Linked DNA regions of Xenopus tropicalis. The protein of the gene in region 1 interacts with the protein of each later gene in a pairwise test. Links are inferred from orthologs where the notes say so. Each region holds a gene or a part of one and is shown in the gene's direction. Other genes may lie near its edges. The genes, in order: zbtb10 and mob3c.

Evidence for each region.
Region 2: the proteins of zbtb10 (region 1) and mob3c interact in binary tests that used the Homo sapiens proteins (3 or more experiments, as listed by UniProt). The link is inferred for Xenopus tropicalis from reciprocal best matches to the Homo sapiens genes ZBTB10 and MOB3C.

What each region holds. Positions count from the first base shown.
Region 1 is NC_030682.2:123,656,397-123,660,757, reverse strand, and holds the start of zbtb10 (zinc finger and BTB domain-containing protein 10), read left to right. Parts: upstream 1-1,432; 5' UTR 1,433-1,817; coding exon 1,818-2,567; intron 2,568-4,361. UniProt on the Homo sapiens protein: May be involved in transcriptional regulation.
Region 2 is NC_030680.2:93,708,519-93,712,836, reverse strand, and holds the start of mob3c (MOB kinase activator 3C), read left to right. Parts: upstream 1-1,273; 5' UTR 1,274-1,527; intron 1,528-1,721; exon of another isoform or gene 1,722-1,832; intron 1,833-4,318. UniProt on the Homo sapiens protein: May regulate the activity of kinases.

The sequences.
Region 1 (4,361 bases):
CTAAAAAAACACATCAGATTTTAAAGGGATTGTTCACGTACCACATTTAATGTTATAGAATGTCATATTTCTACCAACTTTGCAATTGGTCATTATTTTTTTTATAATTTTCTAATTATTATCCTCTCTCTTCTACATGTTTTCAAATGAGGGGTCACTGACCTCAGTAGTTAAACTACTATTACTCCATGAACTTACAAATTTTATTATTATTGTTGTTAGAATCGGAGTGGGGGGTGCAGGGCCCACCAGGGCTGCCACCACATGGGCCCAACAACCTAAGGGCCTCCCCCCCGTGGTCCCCACGCCCCCAAGCCCCCGCTGCTCACCCATCCTCCTCCCCCGAGCATGCATACTTAGGCTCGTCTGTAGAGGGGGACCTGCGGGCCCCGAAGCACCCAGTAGGGATCGGTTCCAACCCTGATAATTGTTACTTTCTATTCTTTATCTTTCTATTAAGCCCCCTCCTATTCATATTCCTGCCTCCTATTTAAACCACTGCTTGGTTGCTAGGGTAAACAAGACCCTAGCAACCAGAAAGCTGCTGAAATTCAAAACTACAATACAAATAAATAAAAAAAATAAACAACAAATAAAATACTTAAGGTTTGTTTGAAGTTGAACAACCCCTTTAACATATATATATTAAATGCATTCTCAGGGTGTGAGGGGGGTTGCTTTCGTTTGGGCAGTCGCCATGACCACACTTTATAGAAATCCTAAGCATTTATGCACAAGTTGCCCACACATACTTATTTCTTTCTATAGCTAGCAGGTTACGCAGAGCTTTGTCGGAAGGCAGTTGTTTGGATCCCATACACAGGTCAATAGTCAAGTGTGGCTGAGTGGGCAGACAATATTGGTCCCAGTGTGGCCTTTGGTGACATAATCTTATTGACTTGTGACAGGTGCAGCAGGAGTTAGTTGTAATGTACAGAAGAGAAGGGAGCCTACAGGCAAACTCAGCTCATCCAGATATCAGGTTTATTATAGGAAAGCAATGGCAGGTTGTGCCAAGTGTATGGGACTCAGCCCAGAACTAAATCAGTGGAACAAACACTGCCTGTAGTAGGCTACAAGAGTTCAGAATCACCTAGAACTGAGCCATGTTAACATAGGTTCTAACCTGACACATATAATGAGAACAATGATATTAGCACCTATTGTCGAACTACAACTCTCTGCACCAAACACTGGGCTGCTAGCAATTACACATGACCGCTTATGAGAACAAATCGAACCCCAGCTAACAAGCCAAGGCGCAGGGTATCCAGCGAGTATGAAAATACAGATAGCACACAGACAGGCAGAAGCAATGTTGGGGTACGGGAGCCCCATGAATTCGGCAGACTGTGCAAGCAGAACCCATCTGTCCCTAGCCGAATCCCTTCCCCCAGACAGGGTGCAGTCCCAGCAATGGGGTGAGGCACAGTAATAGCCTGTGCATGGAAGGAGGCCTCCCCCCACCCCCACCTCACCCGCCCCCCTGACTCCCCCTCTCCGGACAGCGCCCCGGTGCATTGTGGGCGCAGTCCGTTGTTCATTTGCCATTCGACCTCAGCGAGGGCCGTGCAGGGGGAGAGATGCGTCCCTAGGCGCCATCTGTTTCCTACACGCAAACCGAACGGAGGAACGCGCTTGTAGTACGGACGGAGCTGGGGCTGCCCAGTAGCCGCTCGGTGACCGGAGGGGGCGGTTGTTGTACTTCCCAGAAGCCCCTGCGCGGCGGTGCGGGCAGGCACACTCACAGGCACCCCACACAGGCGGGACGCGTGGTGGCCCCCGGCAGGAGGTGGCAGGTTGGGAAGCCGTAAAACATGGCGGAGATGAACCGCAGGACTTTGGCCTTCCGGGGAGGCGGCGGCGGCCTGTCCACAGCGGGGACCCCCGTGAACAATAACAACAACAATGGCGTCGGCTCAGGGGTCCTGTCTATGGAGGAAGCCGCGGCCTGGTCCATGCGGCAGATGAACGGAGGGGGGGCCGGCGGGGAGGAAGAAGTAGAAGTGGAGCTAGACGCGGAGGGCCTGCTGGAGGATGACGAAGAGGAGACCGAGGCCTACCCGGGAGTGGTGCTGGGAAGCCGGCTAGAGCAGCGAGCCGGTACGGGAGGCAGTAATACGGCTGCGGGGCAGGGGGGCTCGGTAAGCGGGGAAAGCAGTGACGAAGAGGACGACGAAGAAGAGGACGACGACGAGGAGGAAGAAGAGGCAGTGCCAGGCGGCGGGGAGCAGGCCGAGAAGGGGGAGCCGGGAGAGGAGGAAGAAGAAGAAGACTGCGCCATTCAGGGTGATGGCACCCGGCGTTTCGGCCTGTTCCCGGCTGCCCGCCCCCAGTCCCTGCTGCCCAGCCTGCACTGCTCCTTCCAGGGCTCCTGGCTGCACGAATTCGAATGGCTTCGTTTCTGCCAAGAGACCGGCCTCATGTCCTGCGCCTGGTGCCACAGGGAGGAGGGAGGGAGCCCCGGGCGCGACGAGCTGTCCAAGGGCACTCGCAACTACAAGCGGGCCGCGCTGCTCCGCCACAGCCTCACCGCCCGGCATCGCATCAACGACCCAGCTGCTCAGGTAATAAGGGGCCGGGAGTGGGTGCAGTGTTTATACCATAGTGTAGGGCCGTGTAACATTGCCTCTCTCTGTGACACAACATGTCCCCTATACCATGGCGGGCCCCTAATCATGGCTCCTGGGGTGTACGGATCACGTGACCCGGCCGCCCCTTTGTTGGGCAGCTTTGCCCTTGGAGCCAGTGGCTGCGCACCCTGTGGGTAAAGCTGATTATCCGCTGCCTCACGCCGGGAGGGGGTGGGGGCGCTGCACACAGTCACTGTCCCTGGGAAGGAAGGGGGTGACCTACATAGACTGTTCCAGGGGCCTAAGATGCTGCTGTGAGGCCGGAAGTGTACTCCCCCCGCCCTGTTCTTCTACTCCCCCTGTCCCCTTCCTGTGCCTCCCCCAGGTGGGCGCCGCCCGCTTGCGGACTGTCCTGGCTTAGGGGACGTGTCGCTACGTGGCTGCTCCCCAATGGGGGCCCGACAGTCCGTGTATACCCGGCCGCTTGTCCCTCTCTGTCACATACACATGGGCTGTGCAGCACCAGGAAGTCGTTCCTAGAGTGCCACTTTAGCTACAAAATCCCATGTCTAGGCATGAAGCAACGTGGTGCAGCCTGGGGTAGAGTTATGGGAGATGTACAGCCAACAATAAACATTTGCCTAATCATATGCCAAGCAGCTTTCCTATTGGCAGTCCCATCAAACTCATTTGTAAATGTAATTGCCATTGAAGCCAGTGTTTCCCTGTTCCTTTATGCCAGGGATCCCCAACCAGTGGCTCAGGGGCAACATGTTGCTCACCAACCCCTTGGGTGTTGCTCTCCGTGCCCCCAAACCAGGGAGTTATTTTTGAATTCCTGATTTGGTGGTAAGTTTTGATTGAATAAAAACAAGATTTCCTACCAAATAAAGCCCCCTGTAAGCTGATAGTATGTATAGAGGCTGCCTAATAGCCAATCACAGCCCTTATTTGGCACCTCCATGAACTTTTATGGTGCTTGTGTTGCTCCCCAAGTCCTTTTACATTTGGCTGTAGCTCATGAGTAAGAAAGGTTGGGGATCCCTGCTTTATGCGCTGCTGGTCTTGGCTCTTGAACCCACATAAGAAGTCAGCACTGCCCTGCAGCTACATTTAACGTTTTAGGAGTCAGACCCACGGATGCCGGGTATAGAAAGGGACAATAGCTGTGATTGCATTTGCAAATAACCTGCTGGAAATTCATACTGAATGTTCATTGGGAAGTTGCCTAAAATATAATTTTCCTTCATGAGGAACATATCCCCCATCTTTAGGGATTAAAAAAGTATGCATAACCTACTGCTATTTGTGGCACAAGTACTTTTGCTTCAAAATACCCATGTTACTCACTACTTATGCTTGTTACATTTCTGTTGACACAAGAAGTATTTTTTTTTTTCATCAGTAAACTATGCACTGTAAGAGGTCATGGGGTTTAACTATATTTTTTTTTAGTGTTGCATACATTGTATTGCTTTAGGGATTGTATGTTTATACTGCAGCATAGGGGAAAAGCATAAAACAGTATTTTATTTTCTTTTAAAAAGCACTTTAGTATCACTTATGATTCTATGTAGCATGTATGTGATGCTTTGCAGGGAGTGTTCAGTTAGTTAATATCATCACTCACTGCCCCAAGGGAACCTGCAGTGTAACTAAAATCCATAGAGATTCAGCCAATCATGTGACCTTTCGGCCACTTTCAACACTTATGTGGAGGCAGCAGGCACGTTTCTGGTCAGTTTGCTTGTACTGCAGTTTACTATATGCCCATTTAGTTCCACACAT
Region 2 (4,318 bases), on another chromosome or scaffold:
AAGCCAGAGGGATGGGCTGTAGCACCTAAAATGGCAATTCACCAACATGGCACATACTGCTTGAAAAATATATTTCGCACCCCATGATTACCTTTCCTGTACTGGAGCTGGTCAGAGGGACTGCATAACTAGTGCAATTTCGCTCTCTGCACTATAAGAGCTGAATTTCCGGTTTAATAACCAGAAACTTGTGGGGTGCTGCCACTGCCTGTGATTATAGTGTAATCACTTAGCTGATAACCCGGGTCCTTGCTCCGGTTACCAGAAAACTGCACAGGCCCAGAGAACTTCTGTAGTACAACGGAATGATTTTTTTCTGCTTCTTTGATCTTCAGTGGCCTCGGCCGTTGCATGTGTAGAAGAGTGAGAAAGCCGGCTTTTTTATTAAACATTTCACTCTACTGCAAATGTGTACCTGTCAAGAAGAAGGAAGAAGCAGGAAAAATATTGCAATGTGGTGCTCACTCAGGGGTACCCTAGTTTTCTGCTAACACGGGCACTCCCCTTGGGTATATGGTAAATGATTATAATCACTAGGGGGTGCCTATATAGGCCAAGACTGGCAATCTGTGAGTTCTGACAAATGCCAGTCACTTATTGATTGGGCTGGCCATGGGCTGTTTGGGCCTCTGTGTACTGGAAATGCCAGGGTCTATTTTATATCCCAGTCCAAATATGTTCCTAACATTTGGCAGCCCCTGGTGATTTAATCTCCGAAAAATGCTTTCCCACCAGCAATAATTGCCAGTAGAAAAACATACGACTGTTTTTTTCAAAGTTGCCTCAAGATGAAACTTCGGGGGACTTCAAAAAAAGCCTGCGTATGTCTGCCCACTGGTAAACATTATTGCAGGTGAACTGGTGGAAGAGCATTTTTGTAGTTACATCTACTTTACCTTGTGCAAAAAATGCTTTTGTCTGCCATCCCCCTCACATATATATACTGTATGAAAAAGCAATTCAGTAGATATTTTGCCTGCCTAAGATATTTATTGCCCTCTTTGTATTAGCAACACAGCCAACACATGATCTGGTTGCTATGATCACACTTACCCTGGTTACCTGGCAGGGTGTTAGTGGAATACATAGAGGTGTCCATAGCCTGTAATTAGTCTACATTACAGTAGACTAATAACCCTGGCAAGCTGTAAAACAGGCAAAAACCAACAACCAAATGACATGTTATGCTCTGTGTGGCAATAGATAGATTTATATTTTTGTGTGAGTTTGTATAATAAGGTTTAGCTAGTCAGTCAGCACACGCTGGAAGAGCACAGTGCGAGTGGAATAGAGTGGGAGCGGGCTGCCTGCAGGTTGTGACACGAACAGCTGTACAGACTTCTAGACAAAATCAGGATGTGACATCACTGACAGGAAAAAAGGCAGTTTGTTTAATACAAACTTCCCAAAGCTCCGAGCTCACTGTGCCGTCATGCAATTACACCACAGCCGACAATAACCCGCTCCCGAACCATTGGACCCAGTTGGTTCCACCAGTTCCACACGTTCGGAAGTGCCTGCAGGACGGTGAGTGGGAGACTGGGGCAGTGCAGGGGCACAGCTCCTGTGGCAACAGCTAAATAATCAGCACATGATTTCTGGCCCAAGACCCAGTTCCCACGGTGCGCACCCATGTGGCCCGGAGTTACAAGAGTTAAATAAAGGGGACACGCACCAGATCAATGCGCAGTTATTATAGTGTGTTTGGCTTTAGCGTCTAGGTTACCGCTCAGCGTGAAGGAAGTGAGGTGGCCGTGGCAGGCTAACCCAGGCGCTCGTCTACCTGCTGCTCTACCTGCTCAGATCGCCTTTAAGCTGGCCAGGACTGTATTGTATGTATTGTTATTATTAGAATAGCATCGCAGAGGGCTGTTCGATACATTTTCTCTGCTGGCAGCTGGTACATTTCAGGAGTCAAAGTCATCAAGCAAAAACAACCTGTTTACTATTACTAGGCGCCAAGTTTGTAGGAAACCAGTATTTACAACTTGCATAATTGTATGACTAGGGTGACTTTAAGTAGAGAGTATAAAATATGAAATTCTGCAATGATGAGAAAATTTTGGCCACATGCACTTGGACACGCTCCTAAATACCACACACAATTTACCAAAACAATCACTATATAAAATAGATAATGGATATTTGAACCCAAGACATAACAAGTATAATTACTAAGGAAAATTGACAACCTGCATATTAACCCAAGGTATGCAAGTAAAATTGCTACAAAAATGCATAATCAGCATATTAACCCCAGATGTGCCAGTATAATTACTACAAAAAAATTGATAATCTGAATATTAACCCAACGTGCTTGTATAGTTACAACAGATAATGGAAATCTTTACTTCAGATGAGCCGGTATAATCACTAAATAAAATAGAAAATGGGCATTTTGCCCGCAGATGTACCAGTATAATTACTATGAAAAATGGATAATCTGCATATTAGCCTGAGATACGCCAGTATCATTACTACAGGAAATGCAGAATCAGTATATTAACCCCAGATGTGCCACTATAATTATTACAGGAAATAGTTAACCAGGATATTGAGCATTCCATTAACTGTGGCAAGGAATAATTTCCAACAGGTAGCTGCCTGTCAGGAGTAACATTGCCCAGTAGGGAGGGCAGAGCTGTATTGCCTGTATCCTAATTTCTCTAATAAGCGTGTAAGGGAAAGAAGAGGAATACAGTACAGCTCTACCCTGCTCTGCCCTCCCTACTCGATTCTGTGAGGTATACAGAATTTCAGGGGAGGACACTTGCCCCTATTTGATGTCGTCCACACCTAGGTGGGTATCGGGCTCTCAGGCTAAAATGTAGAATAGGGCACAGATATGGCATTCTTGGTGAGATGTCAGGATGCCTGACCTTGGTAACTGTGTTCAATGGAAGGGAAATGAATGACATGCCAGAGATGCAAGGCAGTTGGCCAACCCATTGCTGTATGAATAATGAAGCTAGTGGCCAAGAAAGAAGTCACGTAATTGGAAAATCAGCTTCATCAGGGGAGTTTAATGTCACAGACCATTATTTCATAGGCCAGCATAACAAATATCAGTTTGGCCAACAGAGGGCACTGTTTCAAACTGGGTTTTTCAGTATTGTTCTCTCATCAGTGCAATCCAGGCTTTGTTTTAAGACAAAGAAAACCCACCATATAAATGCAAGTTGAAATAACAAACAAGCAAAGAAGAAGAAAATAGATAGTAAGAGGGTACCATGGAGCAGATACATTTTATCAAGTAGAATTATCAAGTATACCTTAGGGCAAGGGTTTCTTTCCATCTGCATTTTGTAGGAAAGTGGAGAGAAGAGGATCTAGTCCTATATGCTCCTGTGTCTAAGTGAAGCTACACAGATCACACAAAAATGAGAATGCATGCATTTTTGGGCTTATCTCAGCTGTGTAGCTGCAAACAGGCCGATGCTACAAAATGCAGGTGGAGAGAAGTGGAGAGTGTGCCCTTGTCCTAAGACAACTTTTGGAGATGTGACTGTGGTGGCATCTGCTGTCTCTCTCTCTCTCATCTTAGTTAACTTAACTATAGAATGTTCTGTGCTGTTATTATAGTTTTTGAAATTATTTTTCTTCCTCTTCTATGAAGAAGCCACTCGGATGACTGGTAAATCCAGTTGCTTTAGACTTAATTCTACTACATCTGAAATGCACCGTCAGGTTGCTAGGGTAATTTGGACCCTTAGCTGCTAAAATTAGAGAGCTAAGCAAAAAAAAACACAAAAAAATAAAAAACTAAGAGCATTTGCAAATTACTGTCTACATCATACTAAAAGTTAATTTAAAGGTGATCTACCTCATTAAGCAGATATATATTGTGTTTCTGTGAGTGGACGCAACCAATTAGGTAACCTCTTTCAAAAATTCTTAAGCAGAAAGCATTGTACAAGTATTTGCAACAATTTAAGAAATTTTAAGCACTGATGGGTCATTCAGTGACCCTTGTTTTAATGATAAATACAACTTGGAGGAAAAGGTAGATTTCCTGTTCAGTGGTTAGTCTGAAATGATTGAATTCATACCACTTCATGGTCTGTCATATGACTACAAATGGTTGAAAAAAGCTTTCCTGTTTCTTGTCTCTAAATGTAATATAATTTTTATTAATATGCTTCTAGGTTTCACTTACTTCCTTTATTTGTTTAAAGGTCAAGTGCTTATTCCCATACTGCGTTGTTATTGTTTCATGTGGCATGTAAAAGCTCTGGTCTGCAGTTTTATTTGTGGGTTCCTTTAAGGCCGCAAGAGAGGACATCTGTCACTAACCATTTCTTTATTAGTTGCCCTATTG